Linked DNA regions of Anolis sagrei. The protein of the gene in region 1 binds, or shares a complex with, the protein of each later gene. Links are inferred from orthologs where the notes say so. Each region holds a gene or a part of one and is shown in the gene's direction. Other genes may lie near its edges. The genes, in order: GNAO1, P2RY2, C3AR1 and HRH3.

Evidence for each region.
Region 2: the proteins of GNAO1 (region 1) and P2RY2 are in contact, whole or in part, in a cryo-EM structure (PDB 9K20), measured with the Homo sapiens proteins. The link is inferred for Anolis sagrei from reciprocal best matches to the Homo sapiens genes GNAO1 and P2RY2. Residues at the interface, in NP_066268.1 of Homo sapiens: Ala31, Lys32, Asp33, Val34, Leu195, Gln305, Glu309, Glu318, Ile319, Tyr320, Cys321, His322, Met323, Val334, Phe336, Thr340, Asp341, Ile343, Ile344, Asn347, Leu348, Gly350, Cys351, Gly352, Leu353, Tyr354; in NP_002555.4 of Homo sapiens: Asn66, Ser68, His130, Arg131, Gly134, Val135, Pro138, Leu139, Leu142, Arg143, Met221, Arg224, Leu225, Ala229, Tyr230, Gly231, Thr232, Ser233, Pro237, Ala239, Lys240, Lys242, Ser243, Arg245, Thr246, Leu308.
Region 3: the proteins of GNAO1 (region 1) and C3AR1 are in contact, whole or in part, in a cryo-EM structure (PDB 8I95), measured with the Homo sapiens proteins. The link is inferred for Anolis sagrei from reciprocal best matches to the Homo sapiens genes GNAO1 and C3AR1. Residues at the interface, in NP_066268.1 of Homo sapiens: Ile28, Ala31, Lys32, Asp33, Val34, Asn194, Leu195, Ser264, Asn316, Glu318, Tyr320, Asp341, Ile342, Ile343, Ile344, Ala345, Asn347, Leu348, Arg349, Gly350, Cys351, Gly352, Leu353, Tyr354; in NP_001313404.1 of Homo sapiens: Asn57, Asp119, Arg120, Val123, Val124, Pro127, Ile128, Gln131, Asn132, Arg134, Asn135, Tyr356, Ile359, Arg362, Gly366, Arg367, Phe368, Ser371, Lys374, Thr375, Val378, Leu438.
Region 4: the proteins of GNAO1 (region 1) and HRH3 are in contact, whole or in part, in a cryo-EM structure (PDB 8YN7), measured with the Homo sapiens proteins. The link is inferred for Anolis sagrei from reciprocal best matches to the Homo sapiens genes GNAO1 and HRH3. Residues at the interface, in NP_066268.1 of Homo sapiens: Ile28, Ala31, Lys32, Asp33, Val34, Lys193, Asn194, Leu195, Asn312, Pro315, Asn316, Lys317, Glu318, Ile319, Tyr320, Phe336, Thr340, Asp341, Ile343, Ile344, Ala345, Asn347, Leu348, Arg349, Gly350, Cys351, Gly352, Leu353, Tyr354; in NP_009163.2 of Homo sapiens: Asn69, Asp131, Arg132, Ser135, Val136, Ala139, Val140, Tyr142, Arg143, Ala144, Gly147, Ile221, Ile225, Arg228, Arg232, Thr345, Phe348, Arg349, Arg352, Val356, Leu360, Cys415, His416, His417.

What each region holds. Positions count from the first base shown.
Region 1 is NC_090028.1:7,028,387-7,035,769, reverse strand, and holds the start of GNAO1 (guanine nucleotide-binding protein G(o) subunit alpha), read left to right. Parts: upstream 1-4,383; 5' UTR 4,384-5,071; coding exon 5,072-5,189; intron 5,190-7,383. UniProt on the Homo sapiens protein: Guanine nucleotide-binding proteins (G proteins) function as transducers downstream of G protein-coupled receptors (GPCRs) in numerous signaling cascades.
Region 2 is NC_090023.1:6,920,401-6,928,282, reverse strand, and holds the start of P2RY2 (P2Y purinoceptor 2), read left to right. Parts: upstream 1-4,879; 5' UTR 4,880-5,186; intron 5,187-7,882. UniProt on the Homo sapiens protein: Receptor for ATP and UTP coupled to G-proteins that activate a phosphatidylinositol-calcium second messenger system. The affinity range is UTP = ATP > ATP-gamma-S >> 2-methylthio-ATP = ADP.
Region 3 is NC_090025.1:106,209,630-106,217,005, reverse strand, and holds the start of C3AR1 (C3a anaphylatoxin chemotactic receptor), read left to right. Parts: upstream 1-4,367; 5' UTR 4,368-4,505; intron 4,506-7,376. Other genes in the region: C-type lectin Cal-like, read left to right, coding at 15-155, 1,702-1,816, 3,258-3,325.
Region 4 is NC_090024.1:232,444,394-232,452,347, reverse strand, and holds the start of HRH3 (histamine H3 receptor), read left to right. Parts: upstream 1-4,951; 5' UTR 4,952-5,382; coding exon 5,383-5,632; intron 5,633-7,954. UniProt on the Homo sapiens protein: The H3 subclass of histamine receptors could mediate the histamine signals in CNS and peripheral nervous system. Signals through the inhibition of adenylate cyclase and displays high constitutive activity (spontaneous activity in the absence of agonist).

The sequences.
Region 1 (7,383 bases):
AGCTTTCGTATGATATTGTTTCTAGCACCCACTTTTTGTTTGATGTTCAGGCAGTGCTTCTTGTAGGTCAGAACACGGTCCAGGGTGACTCCCAGGTATTTGGGTGCGCTGCAATGCTCCAGTGGGATTCCTTCCCAGGTAATAATCCTCAGAGCTCGGGATGCTTGTCTGTTCTTAAGGTGAAAGGCACATATCTGTGTTTTAGAGGGATTAGGGATCAGTTGGTTTTCCCTGTAATAGGCAGTAAGGGCACCTAGAGCTTCGGAGAGCTTCTGTTCAACCATCTCAAAGCTCCCTGCCTGAGTGGTAATGGCACGATCATCAGCATAGATGAAGCTCTCTGTCCCTTCTGGCAGTGGCTGGTCATTTGTGTAGATGTTGACCATGGATGGAGCAAGCACGTTCCCCTGAGGCAGGCCGTTCTTCTGTTTCCGCCATCTGCTTCTTTGGCCCTGGAATTCAACAAAAAAGCTCATGTTTTGTAGCAGGCTTCCTATGAGGCGGGTGAGGTGGTCGTCCTTTGTGATATTATACATTTTTCTCAGGAGGAGGCGGTGGTTCACAGTATCATAGGCTGCTGACAGGTCTATGAAGACAGCCCTGTGATCTGCTGCCTTTCAAAGCCATCTTCTATGTGCTGAGTCAGGTTCAGCACTTGCGATGTGCAGCTTTTGCCTTTCAGCTTTCTTCTGAATGCGCACAGGCGACTATAGACTATAGAGGCACTCAGCTTGGACTCCAGCAGTTCGTAACAGTCAGAGACCTCCGCTAAGATAGCAAAATTCCAAATTGGATTCCCTTGTGGGGCTGATATTCCGTGCCACCAAGGAAGCCATGCTCTGCTGGGCATATCATCCTGATGACTTATCCAGCTGGAAGACACAAAGAAGCAAGTCTCTTCTCTTCTTTTGATGGGTTTCAGGCACGTTATAAAACCAGACTTTTGACCCATCCTAAGGTTTACTCTTTGCTGATTGCGTTGGCTTTGCTTTGTTGCTCTCTGCTTTTCTTTTGTATTGAATGTATTTTTGATGGCTCTCGGCCAGCTTGAGACTCCTTTTCGGGATTAGAAGGCGGGGAATGAATTTTCTAAATAAATACACAAACTGGAGACTCTGTTCTGTTTGCTTTTCCTCACCAGCAATGGATTGCTAACTTAGGAGTAGAGTATTATTGACCAGATGTTTTGGGTTAGGTTACAACCTCTTTCACACCTGTGTCCAGGTTGGTTCATCGTGTGCTCTGCTATGGCTGACTTCTCTGGTTGAAGTAGTCTGCAGTGCCTTTCATGTTCCTTGATTCGTGTCTGGGCAATGCTGCTGCGTTTGGTGGTCCCTCTGTAGACTTGTCCACAGCTGCATGGTACACGGTAGACTCCTGCAGAGGTGAGAGGATCCCTCCTGTCCAACCTGGACACAGCATTTTATTTGGGAACACAGAAATGCTGGACCACTCTCACAACCACCATGTCAGACTACACAGAGAAGCCATTGAAATCCACAAGCATATGAACAATTTCAACAGAAAGGAGGAAACCATGAAAATGAACAAAATTTGGCTACTAGTATTAAAAAATTCTAAAATTACAACAGCACAACAACAGAGAGGAAACAAACAAGGACATCTAATCACCTCTCAACAAAAGTTTGCTCTTGGCACTATCAGGCCATTATATGCTAATCAAGGTGGTCTGTTGAAACATTCACACCTAGCTCCAGCAGACAAGAGTCCTTTGTCCCACCCTGGTCATTCCACAGATAAATAAACCCCTTTTCCTAGTTCCAACAAACCTCACTACCTCTGAGGATGCTTGCCATAGATGCAGGCAAAATGTCAGGAGAGAATGCCTCTAGACCAGTGGTTCTCAACCTGGGGTCCCCAGATGTTTTTGGCCTACAACTCCCAGAAATCCCAGCCAGTTTACCGGCTGTTAGGATTTCTGGGAGTTGAAGGCTAAAAACACGTGAGGACCCCAGGTTGAGAACCACTGCTCTAGACCATGGCCATATAGCCCGAAAAAACCTACAACAACCCTATAATAATAATAATAATAATAATAATAATAATAATAATATATTATTATTATTATTATTATTATTATATGTTATAATAGAATATATTATAATATTATAATTAAAGATAAAGGTTTCCCCTGACATTAAGTCTAGTCATGTCTGACTCGGGGGGGGGGGGGGGGGGGGGTGCTAATCTCAATTTCTAAGCCAAAGAGCCAGTGTTTTCTGTAGACACCTCCTAGGTCATGTGGCTGGCATGACTGCATGGAGCACCTTTACCTTCCCACAGAAGCGGTACCTACTGATCTACTCACACTTGCATGTTTTCAAACTGCTAGGTTGGCAGATGCTAGGGCTAACAACAGGAGTTCACTCCATCAGCGGAGTCGAACCACCAACCTTCTGGTCAGTAAGTTTTGCAACTTTGTGGTTTAAACCGCTGAGCCACTGCAGCCTCTGTGTTATATTATTATGCATTATAATATTATATTAATATATGTCATTATATTATATTATGTTTTTATAATTGGACCAGTGAGGCAATGGGGGTTTAGAATATATTCTAATATAATATTGTTATTATATTAATATGTTATATTATTATATTATTATTGTTATATAATATTTTTCTTATACTACTATATTATTACATTATTTGTGATAGGACCAATGGGGCAAAGGGGGTTTCGAATATATTATAATTATATTAATATGATATATTATTATTATATTATATTATTATATTATGTTTTTATGATAGGATTAATGAGGCAACAGGGTTTATTATTATATTATAATTATATTAATATATGTTATAATACTATAATTATATTATATTACCATATTTCTATTTATATTACCATATTATGTCTTTATGATAGGATTAATGAGGCAATTGTGTTTATTATTACATTATAATTATATTAATATATGTTATAATATATTATTATATTATATTTTTATGATAGGATTACTGATGCAATGGGATTTATTAATATATCATAATCATATTAATATATGTTATTATATTATATTATATTATATTAATATTATATCTCTATATTATTATACTATGCTTTTATGATAGGACCAATGAGGCAATGGGGTTTACTATTATATTATAATTATATTAATATATGTTATAATATATTATTATATTATATTTTTATGATAGGATGACTGATGCAATGGGATTTATTAATATATCATAATCATATTGATATATGTTATTATATTATTATATTAATATTATATCTTTACATTATTGTACTATGCTTTTATGATAGGATTAATGAGGCAATGGGGTTTATTATTATAATTATATTAATATATGCTTTGATCTTATTCTATTATATCATTATTATATTATATATTATTATATTATATTAATATATGTTATAATATTATTTTATTATATTTTATTATGTTATTATACTGTAATATCCTTGTATTATTATCGTTATATTTGATCTTTATTTTATTAAATAGTATATGTTATAATATTATTATATTATATTATTATACTATTATAATATTATATTATGTTTTTATGATAGGACCAATGAGGCAATGGGGTTTATTATTATATTATAATAATAGTAAAATATGTTATAATATTATTCTATTGTATCATTATTCTATTATATTTTATTTTATTATTCTATTATATTAAAACATGTTATAATATTATAATATTATGTTATTATGTTGTAATAGTATTGTATTATTATCATTATATTTGAGCTTTATTTTATTAAATATTATTATATTATATTATAATATTATAATATTATGTTTTTATGATAGGACCAATGAGGCAATGGGGTTTATTATAATAATTATAATAAAATATGTTATAATATTATTCTATTATATCATTATTATATTATATTATATTATATTTTTATGTTGCAAAGTAAGTAATAGTATTATATTATTATCATTATATTTGATCTTTATTTTATTAAATATTATATGTTATAATATTATTATATTATATTATTATTATATTATTATATTATATTATATTATACTATTATTATATTATATTATATTATATTATATTATATTATATTATATTATATTATATTATAATGTTTTTATGATAGGACCAATGAGGCAATGGGGTTTAGAACCCAGGAACCCAAATCGTGTTGGATCATGAATGATCTTCTGCTTAGAAATGGGTGTTTTCCTTCCCATCCTTTGGCCTCTCTTTCTCTAGATTCCCCCCACCTTTTCCTTTAGGAGTGGGGCGCATGCGCAGGAGACAGGGAGAGCTCTGACGTCATAGAGTCAGCTTCCCCCCCCCCTCTCTCTCTTTCTCTTCCCCCCTCCCCTCCGTTGGAAGGAGCAACGCTAAGCAGGCGGCGCTCTCGCCCTGCCTTTCCTCCCTCCCTCCTTTTTCCCCCTCCCTCCTTTCCTCCCTCCTCTCTGCTTTCTCTCTCCGTCAGGATCGCCTTGGACGATGCCCTCGCTCGCAGCCATCGCCCATTAGAGACCCCCCCAAGTTCGGGGGAGCAGGAGGGGACCCCTTGAGATCCCCCCCACCCAAAGAGAAACCCCAAAAGAAAGGGGGAAAGGAGGAAGAAAGGAAGAAGGAAGAGACTGAAGAAGAATAAGAAAGAGACAACAAAGATAAATCCTTGCAACATTGTGTTGTGTTTGGCTGAGCTGCTCCCGACAATTCCCCGACAATTCCCCGACAATTCCCCGACAATTCCCCGACAATTCGAAGCTGTCACTTGGATGCAACGTTTGGAGTGAAGCAGAGCAAAAAAAAAAGACGCAGAGAGAAGGAAAGGAAGGAATTAAGGAGAGATTGTCTGCCAGGGAAGAAGAGAGAAGAAGGCAAGAAGGGGAGATTGGTTTTCTTTGGTGCACCAGCATCTCCCTGGCTTTGGTCCATCGGTGGTCTTCTCCTTCTCCCTGGCTTTGATTGGAGCTCGCCCTGCCTTTGGAGCAAGGAAAGAAGGGAAGGAAAAAGGGGTCTTTTGTATTCTTGTTGTTGTTTTATAGGGGGGGGATTCGCCCTTTTTGTGTGTGTGCCCACCACCATGGGATGTACCCTCAGCGCGGAGGAGAGAGCCGCCTTGGAAAGGAGCAAAGCGATCGAGAAGAACCTCAAGGAAGATGGCATCACCGCCGCCAAGGATGTCAAGCTCCTCTTGCTGGGTAAGTAGGCAGGCACACAGGCATAGATAGAGATACATGTATGTATGTGTATATGCGGATGTACATAGATACCGCTATGTCTTCTCTTGCTGGGTAAGTAGGCAGGCACACAGGCATAGATAGAGATACATGTATGTATGTGTATATGCGGACGTACATAGATACCGCTATGTCTCCTCTTGCTGGGTAAGGAGGCAGGCACACAGACATAGATAGAGATACATGTATGTATGTGTATATGCGGACGTACATAGATACCGCTATGTCTCTTCTTCTCCAGGTGAGATATGAGCATCCCTCTCTTCCTCAGGTGTGGTCTTCTTCCCCTCTCCCACCTCTCAATTTCTTCTATTTGCCATCACTATCTATCTATCTATCTATCTATCTATCTATCTATCTATCCATTCATCTATCTATCTATCTATCTATCCATCCATCCATCCATCCATCTATCTATTTATCTATTTATCCATCCATCCATCCATCCATCCATCTATTTATCTATCCATCCATTCATCCATCTATCTATTTATCTATCTATCTATCCATCTATCTATCTATCTATCTATTTATCTATCCATCCATCCATCCATCTATCTATCCATCTATCCATCCATCCATCCATCCATCTATCTATTTATCTATCCATCCATTCATCTATCTATCTATCTATTTATCTATCCATTCATCTATCTATCTGTCTATCTATCTATCTATCTATTTATCTATTCATCCATTCATCCATCTATCTATCTATCTATCTATCTATCCATTCATTCATCTCTCTATCTCTCTATCTATCTATCTATCTATCTATTCATCCATCCATCTATCTATATACCTCCCTCTCCCTATATATTATGAAATCCTTCTTCGTTTTGTGCACCCAGGGGCATTGGATATATGTAGATAGATAGGATAGGATAGATAGACAGATGGATAGGATAGGATAGAGAGATAGAATAGAATAGAATAGAATAGAATAGAATAGAATAGATAGACGGATATGATAGATAGGATAGATAGAATAGAATAGATAGATAGGCAGATGGGGATATGATAGATAGAATAGATAGATAGAATAGATAGAATAGATTGATAGATGGATATGATAGATAGGATAGATAGATAGATAGATAGATAGATAGATAGATAGAATAGATAGATAGAATAGATAGATAGACAGACAGATAGATATGATAGAATAGATAGACAGGTGGATATGATAGATAGGATAGATAGATAGAATAGATACATAGAATAGATAGAATATATGGATGGATAGATAGATAGATAGATAGATAGATAGATAGATAGACAGACAGATGGATATGATAGATAGAATAGATACATAGAATAGATTAATAGAATAGATAGCATACATACATACAGAGAGAGAGAGAGAGAGAGAGAGAGAGATTGAGATTGATGGATTATGAAATGCAGCCTTCTTGGCTTTGTACATCCCAGGGCATTCGATTTGTGTAGATAGATAAATAGATAGATAGAGAAGTGTGTGTGTATATATATATTCCCCCTTTCTATATAAGCACTATGGGGCATCTATAGAAAAGGGAAATATATATATATGTGTGTGTGTGTGTGTATTCCCCCTTTCTATATATGCACTATGGGGCATCTATAGAAAAGGGAAATATATGTGTGTGTGTGTATATATATATATATATTTCCCCTTTCTATATATGCACTATGGGGCATATATAGAAAGGGGGATATGTATATATAATTGAATGCATCCTTCTTGGCTTTGTGCACCATGGATCTCATATATATATATATATATATATATATATATATATATATATATATATATAATTTGTACATTATAATAATATAATGTACAATAATATAATATTTAATAATATAATACAATATTAATCCCCCATTTCCATATATATATATATATATAGAGAGAGAGAGAGAGAGAGAGAGAGATAGGGGATTAATATCTATCTATCTATCTATCTATCTATATGAGAAAGAGGGTATTAATATTATATAATATTATTAAATATTATATTATTGTACATTATATTACTAAATGCATTCTTCTTGGCTTTGTGCACTATGAGGCATCTAGGAATATATAGCTATATATCTTTCTCTACACAGATATAGATATTTTGAAATACATCCTTCTTGGTTACCATGAAGCGTATGGGAATATATATGT
Region 2 (7,882 bases), on another chromosome or scaffold:
TGAATGTTTGACCCTGAGCTGTAATTTTACCTATCTGTAAGCTTGCTTATCCAAGGCAGAAAGAATTTCGTGGGAGTAGATCTGCTTGTGTCTGAGCACAGGCAATTATTTTTTCCTATCAGCAGCAGCTGTTGGCAAGCAAAGCTCTCTCAATAGACAGGGATTCTGGGTCTCAGTAGACAGGGATTCTGGGACTTGTAATAACTGGAAATTTATTTTTCTTAATCACGTTCCTATAAGAACTCCCACGACAAACAGAAAATATATATCAATGATTGGTTGGGGGGGCGGGGCGCCAAAATACTGTTTGCTTACCATTGAAAATTACCTAGGGCCGCCTCTGGGTGGGACCAACACGTTTACTAATACATATAGTAAAAAATGAAGAAAAATAATAAGACACCAAAACACTTAAATACTTAATGTGCTTTAATCTGTGTTTTAATGATATTTTAATGATGTTATGTTTTATATTTTCACTGTGTCATACACTGCCACAAGCCACCAATTATTATCATTGTTGTTGCATTACAGAGAATAAAACCAAAAATCAAACATCTAAGCAAATACAAGTGACGCAATCCAGTTTCATAGGGAACAATAATTTTGCAATGAATTGTTTTAAGAAAAATCCAGCAGCCAGTTTTTAAAGAGTCGTGTTTAAACACAAATCAACAAGTACTACGGAGATGACGTATTTCCAAGAAGAGAATGAAGCCAGAAATCCAACAAAGCTGCAAGCAATTTCAAAATGTCCTAATCCATTGATTGAAAAAAAAAAGAGCAATGCTTGAGATGACAGCAAAACTTAGTTCGCTCTTATGTATTGATATTTAGGTATGTCTTGTATGTTAAAATAGTGTTTCTCAACCTGGGGAAGGGATCACGAGGGGGTTTCGGAGGGGTCACCAAAGACCATCAGAAAACACATATTTCTGATTGTGTTCCAGCAGACACCAACTAACCCCTCTCCAATGCCAGTGATACAGCTGAATGGTGTAACATTAGAAAAAGTTGATCATCTCCGCTACCTTGGCAGCCACCTCTCCACCAAAGTCAACATCGACACCGAAATACAACACCGCCTGAGCTCTGCGAGCGCAGCATTTTTCCGAATGAAGCAGAGAGTGTTTGAGGACCGGGACATCCGTAGGGATACCAAGGTGCTTGTTTATACAGCTATTGTCCTCCCAACCCTGCTCTATGCCTGCGAAACATGGACTGTCTACAGACGTCACATGCAACTCCTGGAACGATTCCACCAGCGCTGCCTCCGGAAAATCCTGCAAATCTCCTGGGAAGACAAGCGGACAAACGTCAGCGTGCTGGAAGAAGCAAAGACCGCCAGCATTGAAACGATGGTCCTCCGCCATCAAGTCCGCTGGACCGGCCACGTTGTCCGGATGCCCGACCACCGTCTCCCAAAGCAGTTGCTCTCCTCCGAACTCAAGAACGGAAAACAGAATGTTGGAGGACAGGAAAAGAGATTGAAAGATGGCCTCAAAGCCAACCTTAAAAACTCTGGCATAGACACTGAGAACTGGGAAGCCCTGGCCCTTGACCGCTCCTGCTGGAGGTCAGCTGTGACCAGCAGTGCTGCAGAATTTGAGGAGGCACGAATGGAGGGCGAAATGGAGAAGCGTGCCAAGAGGAAGGCGCGTCAAGCCAACCCCGACCGAGACCGCCTTCCACCTGGAAACCAATGCCCTCACTGCGGAAGAAGATGCAGAGCAAGAATAGGGCTCCACAGCCACATACGGACCCACAAGAATATTGGAAGACAATCATCCTCGGAAAGCGAGGGATCGCCTAAGTAAAGTAAGTAAAGTAAGATTGAGTTAGGAACCTCTTTGGCAGAGAGGGCTGTCCCATCTCTCTGCCTGTCCTTCTCTTCCTTTTTGGAAACAGACATCAAATCCTCCCTCCAAAAACCCTCCTCTGCTGTGATTGGCCAGCCTCTCAGCTAAGGGGAGGGCTGTTTCTGAGACTCCAAGTGGGGAGGGGAGAGCAGGCGTTCTTGGCATATGGCAGCGTGGCACATAGGCAAGGGAGAGTGTGTGAAGCTGAAGGTAGATTAGTGCCAGCAAGTTCCTTCAAGGCGGGGGCGTTCTATGTGGGAAGTTTATCTCTTTGATTGTAGGTGAACTATACATCCCTATAACTACAACTCCCAAATGTCAAGGTCTATTTTCCTCAAACTCCACCAGTGTTCACATTTGGGCATATTGAGTATTTGCACCAAGTTTGCTCCAGATTCATCATGGTTTGAGTCCACAGTGCTCTCTGGATGTAGGTGAACTACAACTCCCAAACTCAAGGTCAATACCCACCAAACCCTTCTAGTGTTTTCTGTTGGTCATGGGAGTTCTGAGTGCCAAGTTTGGTTCAATTCCATCGCTGATGGAGTTCAGAATGCTCTTTGATTGTAGGTGAACTATAAATACTAGCAACTACAATTCCCAAATGACAAAATCATAATTTTTTGAGTGATGGTCACTCCTTGTGTAGTGAGACATTTTGTTGTCAAATTTAGTGGGATTTGGTTAATTGGTTCTTTTGTTTTTAAGATACAGAGCATTTTTAGTGGCTCTCAACCTTCCGAATGCCTAGACCCCTTAATACCATTCCTCATGTTGTGGTGACCCCCAACCATAACATTATTTTTGTTGCTACTTCATAACTGTAACTTCGCTACTGTTACAAGTCGTAATGTAGATTATCTGATATGCAGGATGTATTTTCATCCAGTGGACCAAATTTGGCATTTGGGAGTTGTAGTTGATTTTTGTCATTTGGGAGTTGTAGTTGCTGGGATTTATAGTCCACCTACAATCAATGAGCATTCTGAACTCCACCAATGACGTAATGGAAACAATTTTAGCATACAGATCTCCCATGACCAACAGAAAATACTAGAAGAGTTTGGTGGGCACAGACCTTGAGTTTTAGAGTTGTAGTTCACCTACATCCAGAGAGCACTGTGGACTCAAACCATGATGGATCTGGACCAAACTTGGCACAAATACTCAATATGCCCAAATGTGAACACTGATGGAGTTAGAGGAAAATAGACCTTGACATTTGGGTGTTGTAGTTGCTGGGATTTATAGTTCACCTACAATCAAATAATATTCTGAACCCCACCAACAATAGAATTGGACCAAACTTCCCACACAGAACCCCCATGACCAACAGAAAACACTAGAAGGGTTTGGTGGGCATTGACCTTGAGTTTAGGAGTTGTAGTTCACCTACATCCAGAGAGGACTGTGGACTCAATGATGGATCTAGACCAAACTTGGCATGAATACTCAATATGCCCAAATGTAAACACTGGTGCAGTTTGGGGAAAATAGACCTTGACATTTGGGAGTTGTAGTTACTGGAATTTATAGTTCACCTACAATCAAAGAGCATTATGAACCCCACCAATGATAGAATTGGGCCAAACTTCCCACACAGCACCCCCATGACCAACAGAACATATTATGTTTTCTGATGGTCTTTGGCGACCCCTCTGACACTCCCTGGCAACCCCTCCAGGGGTCCCGACCCCCAAGTTGAGAATGCTGATATAGATGATTCTGTGATCCTAAGCTTGGTTAACAGTGAAAGGCTGGATGTCACGAGTGATGTTGATCGTGGCAGAATGAGATGGGACTAGATGAAATTGAAATTGAATCCAGACAAGACAGAGGTACTCCTGGTCAGTCGCAAGGCCGAACGGGGTATAGGGTTACAGCCTGTGCTGGACGGGGTCGCACTCCCCTTGAAGGCGCAGGTTCGCAGCTTGGGTGTGACCCTGGACTCATCGTTGAGCCTGGATCCCCAGGTTTCAGCGGTGACCAGGGGAGCATTTGCACAGCTCAGGCTCGTGCGCCAGCTGCGCCCGTACCTTGGGAAGTCTGACTTGGCCACGGTAGTACATGCTCTGGTCACATCCCGCCTTGACTACTGCAACGCTCTCTACGTGGGGCTGCCCTTGAAGACGGCCCGGAAGCTCCAGCTAGTCCATCGCGCGGCAGCCATGTTACTAACAGGAGCGGGACGCAGGGAGCATACAACGCCCTTGTTGTACCAGCTCCATTGGCTGCCGATTCGCTACCGGGCCCAATTCAAGGTGCTGGTGTTGGCCTACAAAGCCCTAAACGGCTCCGGCCCAAAATACCTGTCTGACCGCATCTCGGCCTATGAGCCCACGAGGGCCTTGAGATCGTCTGGGGAGGCCCTTCTCTCGATCCCGCCTGCCTCACAGGCACGCCTGGCGGGGACGAGGGACAGGGCCTTCCCGGTGGTGGCCCCCCGGCTGTGGAACACCCTCCCTGTTGACATCAGACAGACGCCCTCCCTTATGACATTCCGCAAGGGACTAAAGACGTGGTTGTTTGAGAAGGCGTTTGAGTAAGTGCTGTAACAATTGGCAATGGCGATTGGAACGGAACATGGATAACGAGACTGGATTGTGATTCAAATGATGAGACGTCGCGAATGATTTAGTGTAATTGTATTATGGATAGTGATGTTGTTTATTGTTGTTGTGATATTGTTTATGTTGTAAACTGATTTTATATGTTGTACACCGCCGTGAGTCGCCCTAGGGCTGAGAACGGCGGTCTACAAGTGCAGTAAATAAATAAATAAATAAATAGATGACCCTTGAGGTCTCATCCAACTCTAGGATTGTATGGTATGGTCCAATGGTTTCCCCTGAACCGGCTCAACTTGGAGAGCTGTCAGCCCGGTGCCGCTTCCTCTTTGCTTTGACAGCTTGTGGCAACTGGGTGTCGCATTTGCCACACTGAAGTGGGGAAGTGGATGTGGGATGGGCTGGGAAGGGATGTGGGTGTTCTCTCTGCCTCCCTCCTCCAACAGGATTCGGGGAAGGAGAGCATGAAAGGAGCAGGACAGCTGCTGCCGGGGCAGGGCCAGTCTGGGCAAGCCAGCCTCAGAGCTGCTCCTTGGGTGCCTCCTCCTCCTCCTTCTCTTTTTTTCTCCTCCATCTCCTCCTCCTCTTCTTTCACCTCCTCTCTTGGCGCAATAGCTGCTGCCTGTCGCTTTGTCCTGGACGGAAACATTGGAGGAAAGCAATGGGGACCTTTCCATGGACTTTGCAACACTTAAGGTTCCTGGACTGAACATGGAAAAGCAAGCAACTTGAGAAGCCTTCCCAGGAAATCCAAAAAACTGTAAGTTATGACTTGATGCGTGCGCTTCCTTTCTTGTATGTAACAGGTTGCTGAACATCTTGCACAACACGTTGCGGCCCAGTGCCAGCGATTAAACTCCAAAGATCAAGACACTTCTCGTAAAAGGTTGCAGGAGACGCCTCCAAACAGGGCGAAAGGTGTGACACTCTTGTTCTGTCCCTATGGAAAAACTCTTGGAGATCTCCTTAATTTTTATTCTGCCTCCTCCAGGTTCTGATAGCAAATCTGATCAGGGTTTCTATCTCTCCAGTCCTATTTTTAGCTTCTGTTTTCTTCCCCCTTCAGCTTGTAAATAAGTTGTGACCTGCCTGAAGTTTGAGAGAGAGGAGCAAAGCTGTGAGTGTGATTTACAGTTGCCAAGTGGAAGAAGGGACAGGGCTCCTAAGCCTTTAAGAGTTGGAATTGTGTGGAAGAGTTGTGCAAAAAGGGGAATTTGAACTGCTGGGGATTGTCATGCAACAGAGTGTACAAAATCCCCTCTTTTACATGGCTACTTCCTGCACAGGAGCCCCATCCTCTTGTTTCACTTGGCAACCTTAATGTAGGCATGCTTTCCTCAACTCTCCAGGCACGTGGGAGTGCATTTACACCAGTGTTTCTCAACTTTTCTAATGCCACAAACGCTTAATACAGTTCCTCATGTTGTGGTGACCCCCAACCATAACATTATTTTCATTGCTACTTCAGAACTGTCATTTCTCTATTGTTATGAATCGTAATGTAAATATCAGATATGCAGGATGGATATTCATTCACTAGACCAGTGTTTCTCAACCTTCCTAATGCCGTGACCCCTTAATACAGCACCTCATGTTGTGGTGACCCCCCAACCATAAAATAATTATCATTGCTATTTCCTAACGGTAATTGTGTTACTGTTATGAATCATAATGAAAATATCTGAAATGCAAGATGAGTTTGCATTCACTAGACCAAATTTGGCATAAATACCCAATAACGGAGCTCCATGCAGTCGTGTCGGCCTTGGAGGTGTCTATGGACAACACCAGCTCTTCGGCCTAGAAATTGAGCACCAACCCCCAGTCTTGAACATGACTGGACTTAATGTCAGGGGAAAACTTTTACCTTACCTTACCCAATATGCCAAATTTCAATACTGGTGGGATTGGAGGGAGAATTGAGTTTGTCATTTGGGAGTTGTAGTTACTGGGATTTATAGTTCACCTAAAATCAAAGAGCATTCTGAACCCCACCAATGATGGAATTGAACAAAACTTGGCGCACAGAACTCCCATGACCAAGACAAAATACTGGAAGTGTTTGGTAGGCATTGACCTTGAGTTTTGGAGTTGTAGTTCACCTGCATCCAGAGAGCACTGTGGGCTCAATGATGGATCTGGATCAAACTTGGCACGGATACTAAATATGCCCAAATGTAAACACTGGTGGAATTTGGGGGAAATAGACCTTGACATTTGGGAGTTGTACTAGTTGCTGGGATTTATAGTTCACCTACAATCAAAGAGCACTCTGAATCACACCACAGATAGAAATGGGCCAAACGTCCCACACAGAACCCCCATAATCAACAGAAAATACTGGAGGGATTTTGGATGAACTGACAGTGATTTAGGGGAGATGTAGTTCACCTAGATCTAGAGAGCACTGTGAACCCAAATGACTATGCCAAAGGGATTCTTAAGATCATCAGAAATATGTGTTTTCTAATGGTCTGTGGCGGCCCCTCTGACACCCCTTCGCGACCCCTTCAGGGGTCCCGACCCCCAGATTGAGAAACACTGCACTAGACCAAATTTGGCACAAGTACCCTATACGCTCAAATCTGAATACTGGTGGTTTAGAGGGGATAGATTTTGTCATTTGGGAGGTGCAGTTGCTGGGATTTACAACCTGCTTTGTCTTCAAAAAACAATGAGATTCAAATGCTCCATGAGATTCTTAGTGGATCACAAGCTGAACATGAGTCCACAGTGTGATGCGGCAGCCAAAAGGTCAACATGATTGTTGGCTTCATCAAGAGGAGTATAGTGTCTGGATCAAAGGAAGCCATAGTCCCCCTCAATTCTGCTTTGGTCAAACCTCTTCACTTGGAATAACCCTGTGTCCAGTTCAGGGTACCATATTTCAAGACGCCAAATTGGGAGGGATAGCCAATACTCCAGAGGACAGGAGCAGGATTCAAAACGATCTTGACAGATTAGAGAGATGAATGGCCAAAACTAACAAAATGAAGTTTAACAGGGACAAATGCAAGATACTCCACTTTGGCAGGAAAAACGAAATGCAAAGAGACAGAATGGGGGACAATGCCTGGCTCGAGAGCAGTACGTGTGAAAAAGATCTTGGAGTCCTCATGGACAACAAGTTAAACATAAGCCAGGAATATGATGCGGTGGCAAAAAAAGCCAATGGGATTTTGGTCGGCATCAATAGGAGCATAGTGTGTAGATCTAGGGAAGTCATGCTACCCCTCTATTCTGCTTTGCTTAGACCACACCTGGAATATTGTGTCCAAATCTGGGCACCACAATTCAAGAGAGATATTGACAACCTGGAATGTGTCCAGAGGAGGGCGACTCAAATGATCAAGGGTCTGGAGAACAAGCCCTATGAGGAGCGGCTTAAGGAGCTGGGCATGTTTAGCCTGAAGAAGAGAAGGCTGAGAGGAGATATGATAGCCATATATAAATATG
Region 3 (7,376 bases), on another chromosome or scaffold:
TTCTCCTTTCTTAGATTGAGTGCCAGAGCTACGGCCGTGGGGCCCATCTTGCCTCTGTCCTCACCAAGGCAGAGACCCTTCTGGTGGCCGAACACATTTCCACTTACCAAACAGAACCAAGTAATGTCTGGATTGGGCTCCATGATGTTCGTCAGGTAAGCCTCTTTCTTCTAATAATCCAAGTATTCACTACTGTGAGAAATTCCTTATTGATGAAATTCTAGTAATTTCACAGTTTGAGTTCCACATTGATTTTCTCAGCAGTTTTCAATAGGAGTCCCAGTGCAGCAAAGGAGGGATGGCAGAATTAGACCTCTGCTCCTCATTCTAGTGCCCCCACAGGTCACATCTTAAGGCAGGGGTCCTTAAACTTTTTGAACAGAGGGCCAGGTCACAGTCTCCCAAACTGTTGGAGGGCCAGATTATCAATTGAAAAAAATGAATTCCTATGCACACTGCACATATCTTATGTGTAGTGCAAAAAAAAAAAAACCCAACACTTAAAACAATACAATAATTAAAATGAAATTTAACAAATATAAACTTATTAGTATTTCAATGGGAAGTGTGGGCCTGCTTTTGGCTGATGAAATAGGATTGTTGTTGTTGTTGTGTGCTTTCAAGTCATTTCAGACTTAGGTTGACCCTGAGCGAGGGCCAGGTAAATCACCTTGGAGGGCTGTATCCGGCCCCCAGGCCTTCATTTGATGACCCCTGTCTTAAGGAATGCAGGTCTTCTTAGTGGCTGCTCCCAGGCATCAAAATTTCTTTTCTAGAGAAGCTACACTGGAGTCATCCATGGAGGGTGGATGTTTCTCTTTTACCCATCTTTGGCAGGATTCATCTTTCACACTAACAATTTGGTGGTGACATTTCTTTGCAAGAAGATTTCCATTTCTACCTGAAAGCCTGCCCCCCCCCTTTTGTGTCAGAAGTGACTTGAGAAACTGCAAGTTGTTTCTGGTGTGAGAGAATTGGCCGTCTGCAGGACGTTGCCCAGGAGACACCCCGATGTTTTTGATGTTTTATCATCCTTGTGGGAAGCTTCTCTCATGTCCCCGCATGGGGAGCTGGAGCTGACAGAGGAGCTCATCCATGCTCTCCCTTGATTCGAACCTCCAACCTGTCAGTCATTCCTGCCAACGTAAGGGTTTAACCCACTGTGCCACCAGGGGCTCCTGCCTATTGATGCATATTGATGATGCATATTGATGGCTGCAGAGCCTTTCTTAACTCTAAATTTAGCATTAGAAGCAAGCATTATTAAGTTCAACAGAACTTACTCTTAAGATACTATGTGGTAGGTAGTCATGCCAAACCAAACACATTGGATACTACACTCTACACTGCTGCTATGTATGTATGTTATGATGGTGGTCCCACACATTTGTTTGCACTGCTGGGAAGTTCTTATCCACCAGACAATATTTCATGCATTCAAGGAAATTATATTTTGACATGGAATTGTCTCTACTGGTTGAGTCACCTTTGGGTTCGAGAAAGACAGGATAGAAATATCACAAATAAATAAAGAAGTAAATAATTCTGCAATGTGTGTGATAACCTTTTAAGATGCTGCAAATCTTTGGACTAGTTTTACAGCAGCAAATGTGACTTCCTCTTTGGTAACTCACTGAACAGCTGAGCTATGTAAATACATCATTCCCATCACTTCCTCAATCATGTATCTTCTTTGTACAGACCAGGAAATGGAGGTGGGCTGACGAATCAGTTTTCAACTACAAGGCATGGGAAAGTGGTCAGCCCGACAACTACTTTAACTCTGAACACTGTGTAGAACTCCGACTTAAAACAGGTAAACAAGCCAAGAAAGTATCAAGTATATCTAGTTTCCATGGTTTTATCAGCTGCAGTTCTAGCAAGAGTCCAGCCAGCAATGGCCAACTTGTCCAGCTTGGGGAGGTCACACAAGCCAGTGTGCCACAGTTCACTTACATGATATACAGAGTCAGCCCTTCCATTAGACAGAGTGGAGAAGCCTCCTTGTGAGGCATATGTTGGGGAGAGCAATGATAATTTTATATACCATATATTTAAGAACTTTGTGCACGAAACAAAGTTTATATATATATCAGAAAGCAAAGGTGTCCCTATCTTGGAGTATTTCAGATTTTGGAATTCCAGATAAGGGATCCTCAATGATTAAATAAAAAACATTCAGGACATAAAACAGTACAACACTTTTTAAAAAGCTCTCTCCTTAAAAGCCTTCAGTTTTAAAAATCTCTTGGAATAAATTGATTTCCATTGGCTGGCATACCCTTGAACTCTACAAGCTTTACATCACCGTACCAGTGTTTGATTTTTTTTTTGTTGTGTCAGGAGCGACTTGAGAAACTGCAAGTCGCTTCTGGTGTGAGAGAATTGGCCGTCTGCAAGGACATTGCCCAGGGGACGCCAGGATGATTTGATGTTTTTATTATCATCCTTGTGGGAGGCTCTCTCATGTCCCCGTATGAGGAGCTGGAGCTGATAGAGGGAGCTCATCCGCCGACTTCAGTCCTGACAGCACAGGGGTCCTGGCCACCAGGGGCTCCATCAGTGTTTGATCACCAGTGTTTGATGATTAACCATGGAAATAACAGGATCAGACAACAAAGGTTAGGTTACATGAGAGCCACTTTATGTTACCTATGACTTATTTAAATTAAGTTAAACCTGGAAAAAAATAATCTGGTGGGGAGCGGAGGAGAGAATCAAGCTGATGATGGTTCAGCTGAGGTCAGGCAGCAACATTTAACTATCTCGTGAACACACCCTGAGCCCTTTGGGCAATCCAATAATTTGGTTTCTCCCTGTCCATCCATTTTCTGGTAGGTAAACCCAGGCATACAAGAGGTGGCCGGATGTTCAATAACCTTTGACTCCATCCCCATAATATGAAACATTATAATGCTCTGAATTATAAGCAACAGACTCTGACTCCTATTCATGGGAGTCATTAAAACACCCCCCCCCCCCCAACAGTATCATCTCCATTCAAGTCCAGTTGTATGTAATTTTCTTCTCTATACCAGGTCATCCTTGTCACCTTCCAGTGACATTCTGAATTCTATTATCATTTCTCCAATTTACCTACTAATAGAAGTACTTAACAAATATGAGATCAAGAGGCTTTTCTGTTCTTTTAGACCTAGGGGTTGAAACTGGTGACAGTTTGACAATATCTTGGGAGTTTTTTTCCCAAAACAATAACAGAGAAGAAAATAACATGTGTTTCATCTCTTAATTTGTAGGTTTTAAGGAGTGGAATGATATCCAGTGCAAGAATCGCAATTCCTACATCTGCAAATACGAACTCTAGAGCAACAGGGGTAGCGCCATATTGGCAAATTGGATGGCTACTTCCTTGATAATAATTAACTACTTTTCACCATCTGAATCTATAAAAGATTACCTTGTCCCCTGCAAAGAACTTGATTTGTAGTCGCCCTCTCTTTCTGACTGTTGTTGACAACTACACTACAATGTGAAATTAATAAACAATGGTTTATGCATATATTCCATGGTCTCTCTCTCTCATTCTAGAAATTACTAAATCTACTCCTACAAAGGTTATCTAGAGGGTCTGCTTGTTGTGAATCATTATACACAAGAGGCAAATCTAATGCCCTGCTCTCGGTCCCACCGCCTTTGCAATCACGTTTGGTGGGGACGAGGGACAGGGCCTTTTCGGTGGTGGCCCCTCGGCTTTGGAACTCCCTCCTGATGGAGATTAGATCTGCCTCTTCCCTCCTGACGTTTAGAAAACAGGTAAAAACATGGCTTTGGGATACTGCGTTCGCAGGATGATGACTGAGTCAATAACTGCTGACCTTTCTGGCGGATGGCGATGAATTTGTAATTCTTTTGGACGAACTGGTTTTTGCTGTAATTTGTATGAATTGTATGAAGTGTATTTTAATGTAATTTATATTGATGACCTATAATGTTTTTCAACTTTTGATCAACAATTATCCCAAAGTCTTTTTTCATATATAGCACTGGATAGCCAAGTATCGTCCATCCTATACCCGTGGATTTGATTTTTATAACCTAAATAGAGAATGATGCATTTATCTCTGTTAGTCTGCTAGTTTCAGATCTTCTATTTTTCCAAGGTGATGATACCAAATTATCATTCTCAATCGATTGACTAAAGCAAATATAGTTGAGACTTTGTTAGCACTGCTATTCTGGACACTTCTGCAATTGGGATATTTTGCTTAATGGCATTTCCTCTGGCACTCAACTAAGTTCCATTTTTCTTTGAAAATAAATTTAAAAATAAACATGAAAGCACCAGAACATTGCAGAAGGGGGTATCCAATTCAGAGTAGGCCAGGCATGGTACACGTGGTAAGAGGCTCAATCTACTATTTCCTGGCTGTAACTGCCTCTTCCCCTTCTTCTCCTCCCTTCTTTGGCTCAGTTGGACAGAACAAGGTGAGAAGATAGACACTGTGACTGCAGCAACTGTGGATAGCCAGCCAAGGGAAGCAAAGGTATGGATATAACTCTAGTCAGTTGGCATAAGAAGAGAAGGAAATGTTTGTGGGATCTCAGAGGGTTTGTGGTGGAGGACTGGTAAGTGAGTGATGCAAAACGTACAAGTAACAGTCAGGATTTAAAAAGGGAAAGGAACAAAAGAATGGGTATGAAAAAGTTGTCAATCATTCTTGCTTTTTTATTTTTTTGGGAGTTTGTCAAGAATAAGTTTTTAGAAAGCCTTATTCTGAATCACATTTAGCCATATTTCGAAACGTCAAAACTGTATGTTGAAACAAACTTCATTCCTGTTCCTATTTATTAAGAAGCGGAGGAAGGAGACATCTAGGAATAGCAAGAAGCAATTACCATATAATTTTCCCTTCCCTATTTTTTAAAAAGTACATGTCGATGTATAGGAATACAATGCAAACAGTTTTGTATATGTGGCTTTTGTGTGGTGTGTGACACACTGTGGAAAGCGTTCTTTAGAAGGAGCTACAAAGTATGACGATTATGAATTATGAAACTTTTTTCCAACTTTGATTTTTATAATGCTGAACGTATGATATGTGTCTTAAGTTGAACCTCAAGCATTTAACCAACTTGGCCATCTACCCGAGAGGCACAAACTTTTGGAATCACCACTATTGGCTTGGATGGACTACTTGACAAGGAATGATGCAGCTCCCTATATAGCTACAAGTATCACTTGGTTTCGTCCACTAATAATGACAGGGATGATCACTGTCATATGGCAGTGGTTGGACTGGGAGAAGGTGAGAGCATGCCAGATAGAGAAGAGGTTTGTCAGAGGAGAAGGTCGCCCAAGAATGTCGTTGAAGAAAAATCATGAAGCAAATCATTTGGGGGATGTTGAGTTGTCCAATCTTGTATTCAGGCTCTTGCCTTTGAGAGTTCTTATAGAAGCAAAGGAAATGTAGGAAAGCAGAGAGACTGGTGGACAACCGGACATTGTTATAGATAGCTGAGTAAAATTGAACTGCACTCTTCCAAGGTTTCCTTTTTAAAAGCTGAAATTAAGATAGTGTCTTTTCGAAATTCATGTTAAAACTTCATGGTAGAAGGGCAAATCCCACTTCTCTTACCCTGAATGTGTACAGCTAGAAATACCTAATCTGTCTATCAAGATTACTATATTTAAGGCAAGTTAGTATATGGTCATGCCAGCTTATGCCCTTTCTGCATACCGGTTTATGGTCAATTTATATTCTTTTCCTAAACTGTACAGCTTCTGATCAGACACAGACAATTCAATTATACCTTTATGTTTTCACTCCTTTCAGTGATTTTGCTACGCATTGCTCCCTTAATAGTTGCAGACTGTCACTCATTTTTGTTTACTACTGGAAACTAGTTGTCTTTGTAATGATTAATAGGCATTCTTAAAAAAAACACATGCATCCTATGTTAGAAATGGCGACCTTCTTCAAACCTCCACTAGTTATTTGTTTGCATATAATTCAGATTTCTTACTGTATTGTATATGTGTGTATTGGTATGCAATTTTCCTTAACTCTAAGTTGTGGGAGGAGCTGCAGACCATGTGATCAGATCTGGGATAGTTCAGGACTCAGACTCCATTGGACTTTCAGACTAGACTGAGACTCTATTAGACTCTTAGAACAGAGACATACTTTGGGCCCTGTGTTGCCTGTGCAGAGAAACTACTTCAAATTCTATCTGTAACTGGACATAAATGTACCTATATGCTGAATACATGAAGTTTGTGAGTAAATCTACTACGTTATTTTTTTTTTAAGTCTACTTATTTTTGTCTCTTGAGAGCATGATTTAGACCAGGGGTCCTCAATCTTTTTAAACAGAGAGCCAGGTCACAGTCCCTCAAATTGTTGGAGGGCCAGATTATAATTGGAAAAAACATGAATGAATTCCTATGCACACTGCACATATCTTATTTGTAGTGCAAAAAAATACTTAAAACAATACAATAATTAAAATGAATAACAATTTTAACAAAGATAAACTTATTAGTATTTCAATGGGAAGCGTGGGCCTGCTTTTGGCTGATGAGATAACATTGTTGTTTTTGTTGTGTGCTTTCAAATCATTTCAGACTTAGGTTGACCCTGAGCGAGGGCCGGGTAAATGATCTTGGAGGGCTGTATCCAGCCCTCGGGCCTTAGTTTGAAGACCCCTGATTTAGACCAACATGTTTTATAAGGGAGAGTAGATATTTTTTGAGCAACTGAAAGAACACTTCTGAAACTCTGTTACATGTTTTTGTGCACTGGCATATCTTTGTCCCTAACAGTTCAACGAGATATCTAGGTATATCAGTTTAACAGCTGAGAAATCTAATTGCCTTGCATGAATACTACTGGATATTTATCACTAAGACAAAGTTTACTCAAAGGAGTTTTTAACTCTTCTCAGGGAGATTCCTGATTTTCCCAAAACGGTGGTGAATGCCATTTCCCAAAGGGTTATGTGCTGGTACAGTTGTACCAGGAGCTCCATTTCTGTTTGCTTTTGCATTTAATGTTTGTTGCAGTCCTAAGTTTCAGGGACTCTGCAGATAGGTGGCTTCTTTTGGCTGCAATCATAGGGCAAGCCACCTGTCAATTATAGTAAGGTTCCCTGGTCCCGCCCCTTTTTGAGTTTTAGTGGGAACAGGAGCCATTTTGAGTTAGTTCTCACAGAGAAGCCTTTCGCACAGGACATAGAACGAAGTGGCTCCTGTAGAAAAGCTTCGTTTTTTACAGCTTGGCTGGGGTCATACAGCCTTACAGCTTGGTCAGGGAGAAAAGGCCCACAGCTTGGCTGAGGGACTTCAGCCGGCCACCACCGAAACCTGAACTCCTTCCTTTTCCCTGGAAGTCTACAAAGCTCTGCCTGGTAAGGGT
Region 4 (7,954 bases), on another chromosome or scaffold:
GGTGTGACAGCCCCAGTTATCACCACTTGAATTATTCTCTTGCACCTTAAATATCAGTTAGATGCAAACGAGTGGTTGTCCTCAGCCTTCCAACTCACAGACATGAGAGGCATCTGAGTCTTTGCTCATGTCGTGGCTCAATACCATTGCTTCCTACTACCTATACTCTGTGGAATACTCTGTTCCACAGCTGAGGAGCCACCACTGAGAAGGCCCTATCTCTTGTCCCCGCCAACTGAACCCATGAAGACGGCGGAACCAAGAGCAGGGCCTCCCCAGAAGATGGTTCATAAAGAGAGATACATGCAGATGAGGCTTCTATCATACACTAAGGCCTACCTCACACTGTGAGGCCTAATCAAAATAAGGCCTTTTCTCCCACAGAGGTTTATCTCAGACTCCTCAGGACAACACTATCTTTGGCCCACTAACTCTAACAGGCTTTGGCATAGTCACTCTCCTTGGGATGACAGGGATGGAAGACTCACAGAGTTTTGTGCATGCCTCTTGGGTTTTTAAACAGTAAAGAAGAACCACAAGTGCATACACCCAACACAGCAAGAAACACACCGAACACAGAATCATAGAATCATAGAGTTGGAAGAGACCTCATGGGCCATCCAGTCCAACCCCCTGCCAAGAAGCAGGAATGTTGCATCCAAAGCACCCCTGGCAGATGGCCATCCAGCCTCTGCTCGAAAGCTTCCAAAGAAGGAGCCTCCACCACACTCCGGGGCAGAGAGTTCCACTGCTGAATGGCTCTCACAGTCAGGAAGTTCTTCCTCATGTTCAGATGGAATCTCCTTTCTTGTAGTTTGAAGCCATTGTTCCATTGCGTCCTAGTCTCCAGGGAAGCAGAGAACAAGCTTGCTCCCTTCTCCCTGTGACTTCCTCTCACATATTTATACATGGCTATCATGTCTCCTCTCATGTTTTCTTTTATGCACACAGTTTTCTCCAATGAAGTATTGTTTGGTATTTTGGATCTTATTTATCTCAGTCAGACTTATATCTGAAAGGTAAGGGTTTGGATTCTAGTTCTGTTGGAATCCACAAGTATAGTATCCTGTGCACACATTTTTCTCTATCTGTAAAATGGAAATGAAAGCAGGGACAATAGCAAAGGACATCAGAAGTGTCAGGCTAAAACAGACTACTGAGTTCAGCATTCTGTTCCCACAGTGGCCAGAGAGATGCTCATGGGAAACTCACAAACAGAATATGAACACAAGAGCACTTCCCTGCTGTTATTCACCAATACGTTTCCCTTATTATGGGAAGTCATATGTAGCTATTGATAGGCAGCCTTTTGTTGTTGAGATTGTGGTTGTGGTTGTTGTGTGACTTTCAGGTTCAGCTCAGTCCCCTCATAGGATTTACTTTGCAAGATTTATTCAAAGGTGTTTTGCCACTGCTTTTTTCTAAGGCAACAGAATGGGGGAGGGGATTCAAACCCTAGCATCATAGAGTTCGAAGAGACTTCGTGGGCCATCCAGTCCAACCAAGAAGCAGAAAATCACATTCAAAGCACCCCTGACAGATGGCCATCCAGCCTCTGTTTAAAAGCTTCCAAAGAAGGAGCCTCTACCACACTCCGGGGCAGAGAGTTCCACTGCTGAACAGCTCTCACAGTCAGGAAGTTCTTCCTAATGTTCAGATGGAATTTCCTTTCTTGTAGTTTGAAGCCATTATTCCATGTCCTAGTCCCCAGGGCAGCAGAAAACAAGCTTGCTCCCTCCTCCCTATGACTTGCTCTCACATACTTATACATGGCTATAATGTCTCCTCTCAGTCTTCTCTTCTTCAGGCTAAACATGCCCAGCTCTTTAAGCCACTCTTCATAGGGCTTGTTCTCCAGAACATTGATCATTTTAGTCGCCCTCCTCTGGATACATTCCAACATCTTAAATCAAGAAACAGCTTCCTAAGATCTACAGAGGTACACCTCAGCAAACGAGAGACCAAAAGTGGCAGGCTAAAACCTGGAACCTCAATCTATGGCTGATACCGCTTAAGCAGCTGAGGGGAAAAGGAAAGAGTCTGAGGCCAGGAATTGTGGGGGTTGAAGTCCAAAGCACCTGGAAGGCAGAAGTTTGTCCATGCCTATTATAGAGTGTTGCCTCAAACTAGCGCTGAGAAGAAGAGAAAGGGAGAAGGAAGCCTTTTGTGCAGGTGGAAGCTGCCTGCCCATCTCCTGAGGTCTCAGTCTCAGTTGGTCCTGGTGGGAGTTTCTTCCAGCTGATATTATTAGAATCATAGAATCATAGAATCATACAATCATAGAATCATGGGCCATCCAGTCCAACCTCCTGCCAAGAAGCAGGAATATTGCATTCAAAGCACCCATGACAGATGGCCATCCAGCCTCTGTTTAAAAGCTTCCAAAGAAGGAGCCTCCACCACACTCTGAGGCAGAGAGTTCCACTGCTCTCACAGTCAGGAAGTTCTTCCTCATGTTCAGATGGAATCTCTTCTCTTGTAGTTTGAAGCCATTGTTCCGCGTCCTAGTCTCCAGGGCAGCAGAAAACAATTTGCTCCCTCCTCCCTATGACTTCCTCTCAAATATTTATACATGGCTATCATGTCTCCTCTCAGCTTTCTCTTCTGAAGACTAAACATGCTCAGCTCTTTAAGCCGCTCCTCATAGAGCTTGTTCTCCATTTTAGTTGCCCTCCTCTGGATACATTCTAACATTTTAAATCAAGAAACAGCTTTCTAAGATCTACAGAGGTACACCTCAGCAAACGAGTGTCCAAAAGTGGCAGGCTAAAACCTGGAACCTCAATCTATGGCTGATACCGCTTAAGCGGCTGAGGGGGAAAAGGAAAGGGCCTGAGACCAGGAATTGTGGGAGTTGAAGTCCAAAGTACCCAGAAGGTGGAAGTTTGTCCATGGCTATTATAGAGTGTTGCCTCAAACTACGGCTGAGTAAGAAGAAGAGAAAGGGAGAAAGAAGCCTTTTGTGCAGGTGGAAGCTGCCTGCCCATCTCCTGATGTCTCAGTCTCAGTTGGCCCTGATGGGAGTCTCTTCCAGCTGAGATTATTAGAATCATAGAATCATAAAATCATAGAATCATGGGCCCTCCAGTCCAACCCCCTGCCAAGAAGCAGGAAAATCACATTCAAAGCACCCCTGACAGATGGCCATCCAGCCTCTGTTTAAAAGTTTCCAAAGAAGGAGCCTCTACCACACTCCAGGCAGAGAGTTCCACCGCTGAACAGCTCTCACAGTCAAGAAGTTCTTCCTAATGTTCAGATGGAACCTCCTTTCTTGTAGGTTGAAGCCATTATTCCACTTTCTAGTCTCCAGGACAGCAGAAAACAAATTTGCTCCCTCCTCCCTATGACTTCCTCTCACATACTTATACATGGCTATCATGTCTCCTCTCAGCCTTCTCTTCTTCAGGCTAAACATGCCCAGCTCTTTAAGCCGCTCCTCATAGGGCTTGTTCTCCAGAACATTGATCATTTCAGTCACTTTCCTCTGGATACATTCCAACATTTTAAACCAAGAAACGGCTTTTGTGGCTGGAATCACTGGGTTGTTGTGAGTTTTCAGGCTGTATGGCTATGTACCAGAAGCATTATCTCCAGACGTTTCACCTGCATCTATGGTAGGCGCCCTTCGGTCTTCCCTCCAGGTGTTTTGGACTTCAACATAGGCAAACGAGAGTCCAAAAGTGGCAGGCTAAAACCTGGAACCTTAATCCATGGCTGATACTGCTTAAGTGGCTGAGGGGGAAAAGGATAGGGCCTGGGGCCAGGAATTGTGGGAGTTTAAGCCCAAAGCACCCAGAAGGCGGAAGCTTGTCCATGCCTATTATAGAGTGTGGCCTCAAACTAGGGCTGAGTAAGAAGAAGAGAAAGGGAGAAGGAAGCCTTTTGTGCAGGTGGAAGCTGCCTGCCCATCTCCTGAGGTCTCAGTCTCAGTTGGTCCTGATGGGAGTCTCTTCCAGCTGAGATTATTAGAATCATAGAATCATAGAATCTAGAATTCTGGGCACCACAATTCAAGAGAGATATTGACAAGCTGGAATGTGTCCAGAGGAAAGCGACCAAAATGATAAAAGGTCTGGAGAACAAGCCCTATGAGGAGCGGCTTAAGGAGCTGGGCATGTTTAGCCTGAAGAAGAGAAGTCTGAGAGGGGATATGATAGCCATGTATAAATATGTGAGAGGAAGCCACAGGGAGGAGGAGGGAGCAAGCTTGTTTTCTGCTTCCTTGGAGACTAGGACGCGGAACAATGGCTTCAAACTACAAGAGAGGAGATTCCATCTGAACATGAGGAAGAACTTCCTGACTGTGAGAGCAGTGGAACTCTCTGCCTCAGAGTGTGGTGGAGGCTCCTTCTTTGGAAGCTTTTAAACAGAGGCTGGATGGCCATCTGTCAGGGGTGCTTTGAATGCAATATTCCTGCTTCTTGGCAGGGGGTTGGACTGGATGGCCCATGAGGTCTCTTCCAACTCTTTGATTCTATGATTCTATGATTCTATTAATCATAGAATCATGGGCCATCCGGTCCAACCCCTTGCCAAGAAGCAGTAAAATCACATTCAAAGCACCCCTGACAGATGGCCATCCAGCCTCGGAGCCTATTGTGCAGGTAGAAGCTGCCTGCCCATCTCCTGAGGTCTCAGTCTCAGTTGGTCCTGATGGGAGTCTCTTCCAGCTGAGATTATTAGAATCATAGAATCATAGAATCATGGGCCATCCGGTCCAACCCCTTGCCAAGAAGCAGGAAAATCACATTCAAAGCACCCTTGACAGATGGCCATCCAGCCTCGGAGCCTATTGTGCAGGTAGGAGCTGCCTGCCCATCTCCTGTGGTCTCAGTCTCAGTTGGTCCTGGTGGGAGTCTCTTCCAGCTGAGATGATTTTGTGAAGCTCTGGGCGTAGAAGCTTAGCTCCACCTTTTGGAAAGAAACGCTCCTGGCTCTTTTGCTGGGAGGTTTTGCCAGTTCCTTCGGAGGCAGAGCAGCAGCCAGGGAGAAGAGAGGAGTTACTCCGTCCCTTTCCCGACCCTCCTCTTTCCTTCCCTCCCAAACTCGGGGAAAGAAAAGGAGAAGGAAGAAGAAGAACGGAGAGAGAGAGAAAGACAAGCAGCTTTGCCTGGAACGAGAAGGAAAAGAGTGAGTGAACAAGACTGGAGAAAGAAGAAGGCAGAACCTCTCATCGCCGACGGCTGTGCGTAAAAGGGAATGCATTGGGGAAGATCCGTTTCAGGGCTTGCTGTGTGGACTTTGGGGGCTGGCAGTGCAAGCGTATCTTCGCCCTTGCCATGCAGAGAGAGGGATCTCTGAGCCTTGCTGTCGGGGAGCGTCCGGGCAGGTCTTTCCAGGCAGGGACCCCCAGCCAGGCGCCGGAGCCTCTGTGGTGCTGAAATGGACAGCTCCTCCTGGCCGCTGAACGGCTCCTCCGAGACCCCCGAGAAGCCCCCCGGGGGAGGCGAGCAGCTCCTGGGACGCTTCTCCACCCTGTGGGCCATCATCCTGGCCGTCCTCATGGCCCTGCTCATCGTGGCCACCGTGGTTGGCAACGCCTTGGTGATGCTGGCCTTCGTGGTGGACTCCAGCCTGAGGACGCAGAACAACTACTTCCTCCTCAACTTGGCCATCTCGGATTTCCTAGTAGGTAAAGTACCCCGCCTCGCCTTCCTTATTGACCTGCCTCATCTAAAGACATTAAGGCAGGCATGGGCCAACTTCGGCCTTCCCTCCAGGTGTTTTGGACTTCAACTCCCACAATTCCTAACAGCCGGTAGGCTGTTAGGAATTGTGGGAGTTGAAGTCCAAAACACCTGGAGGGGAGGCCGAAGTTGGCCCATGCCTCCATTAAGTAGACCAAGTATGGGCAAACCCAGATGTGGCCCCTTGGGCTCTTTTCTCAGGTTCTCCTCTCTCTCACCATCCTATCCTTCCTTCCTTCTTTCCTTCCTTCCTTCTTTACCTCCCTCTTTCTCCCTCCCTCACTCCTTCCTTCCCTTCCACTCTTCATCCCTTCCTTCCCTCCCTCTTTCCTTCTTCCTTCCCTCTCTCTCTTTCTCCTTCCTTCCCTTTCATTTTTCCTTCCTTCTCTCTTTCCTCCCTCCATTCTCTTCTACCCTTCCTTCCTTTTCTCTTTCCTTCCTTCTTTACCTCCCTCTTTTTCTCTCCCGCCTTGCTTCCCTTCCACTCTTCATCCCTTCCTTCCCTCCCTCTTTCCTTCTTCCTTCCTTCTCTCTCTTTCTCCTTCCTTCCCTTTTGTCTTTCCTTCCTTCTCTCTTTCCTCCCTCCATTCCCTTCCACCTTTTCTTCCTTCCTTCTCTTGCCTTTCTTCTTTACCTCTCTCTTTCTCCCTCCCTCCTTCCTTCCCTTCCACTCTTCAACCCTTCCTTGCTTCCCTCCCTCTTTCCTTCTTCCTCCCCCTCTCTCTTTCTCCTTTCTTCCCTTTTATCTTTCCTTCTCTCTTTCCTCCCTTCATTCCCTTCCTTCCTTCTCTCTTTCCGTCCTTCTTTACCTCCCTCTTTCTCCCTCCTTCCTTCCATCCCTTCCATCCTTTCACCCTTCTTCCTTCCCTTCCTCTTTCTCCCTCCTTCCACCTCCCTCTTTCTCCTTCCTTCTCTTTTGTCTTGCTTTCCTTCTCTCTTTCCTCCCTCCATTCCCTTCCACCCTTCCTTCTTTCTTTCTTTCCTTCCTTCTTTACCTCCCTCTTTCTCCCTCCCTCCTTCCTTCCCTTCTACTCTTCCTTCTCTTCCTCTTTCCTCTTTCCCTTCTTCCATCTATCTCTTTCCCCCTTCCTTCCCTTTTGTCTTTCCTTTCTTCTCTCTTTCCTCGCTCCCTTCCTCCTTTCCTCCTGGGGGATGTTTACCTCCCTCCCTCTTCCTTCTTTACCTCCCTCTTCCTCCCTCCCTCCTTCCTTCCCTTCTACTCTACATTCCTTACTTCCCCCCTTTCCTTCTTCCTTCCCACTCTCTCTTCCTCCTTCCTTCCCTTTTGTCTTTCCTTTCTTCTCTCTTTCCTCTCTCCCTTCCTCCTTTCCTCCTGGGGGATGTTTAGCTGGGAGAAGAGAAAGAGAGGGAACATGAGAACCATGTTTCAAGATTTCAAAGAGTGTCCCATTGAGGAGGGGGAAAACTGACTTTCTGCTGCTCTAGAGACCAGGGCACAAGGAAGAAATGATTTCAACTGGCAGGAAAAGAGGTTTGACTGAAAAGATTAGGAAGAATTTCCAGAGATTAAGAGCTATTGGAGGGTGGCGTAGGCTGCCTGGGAATATGATGGAGTCTCCTTTTCTGGAAGCACTTCCGCTGAGGCTGTCTATTGGGAGTGCTTTGATTGTGCATCCTTGCATGCCAGGGGATTGGACTGAATGGCCCTTGGGGGTCTCTTTCAGTTTTAGGATTCTACAATTATACACCAGGAGTAGGCAATATGGGGTCTAATGGATACACTTTTTCTTTCCCTCCCACCATCTCATCCTGACCAAGGCTAACTCTTTTGGGATCTAAACATTTCCCATCTTTTCTTCACTTTCTGCCTCTGAAATAGAAGAAGAGGAAAAGGCAGGGAAGGGGCTTGGGGAGAACTACTTTCTTCCCAGCCCACCCACCCTGCTCCAGCCTGCCATGTCATGTGTCCCCAAGCTAGAAAGTTTGCCCATGCCTGAAGGAGAAGAATAGTGAGATTAGATTGCTAAGGAGAAGACATTTCTCCCCAAATCACTTCCCAAGAGGAAGTAGGAGCAGATAAAGAGTCCAGTCCTTCCTCTTCTCACTCTTCAAGGCACAAATCCCATGGGTCCCAGCCTATTGATTGCAAAGGTTTGCTCTAGTTCAAACCATTTTAGAACAATGATTCCCAACCTGTGGTCCATGGATCACCAGTGGTCTGCAAGAATGAAAATATTGCCCACAGCCTCACCATTACTACACCGTTGCCTCGAAACCACGCAGCAACTAGAGCGACTGGTCTTGCA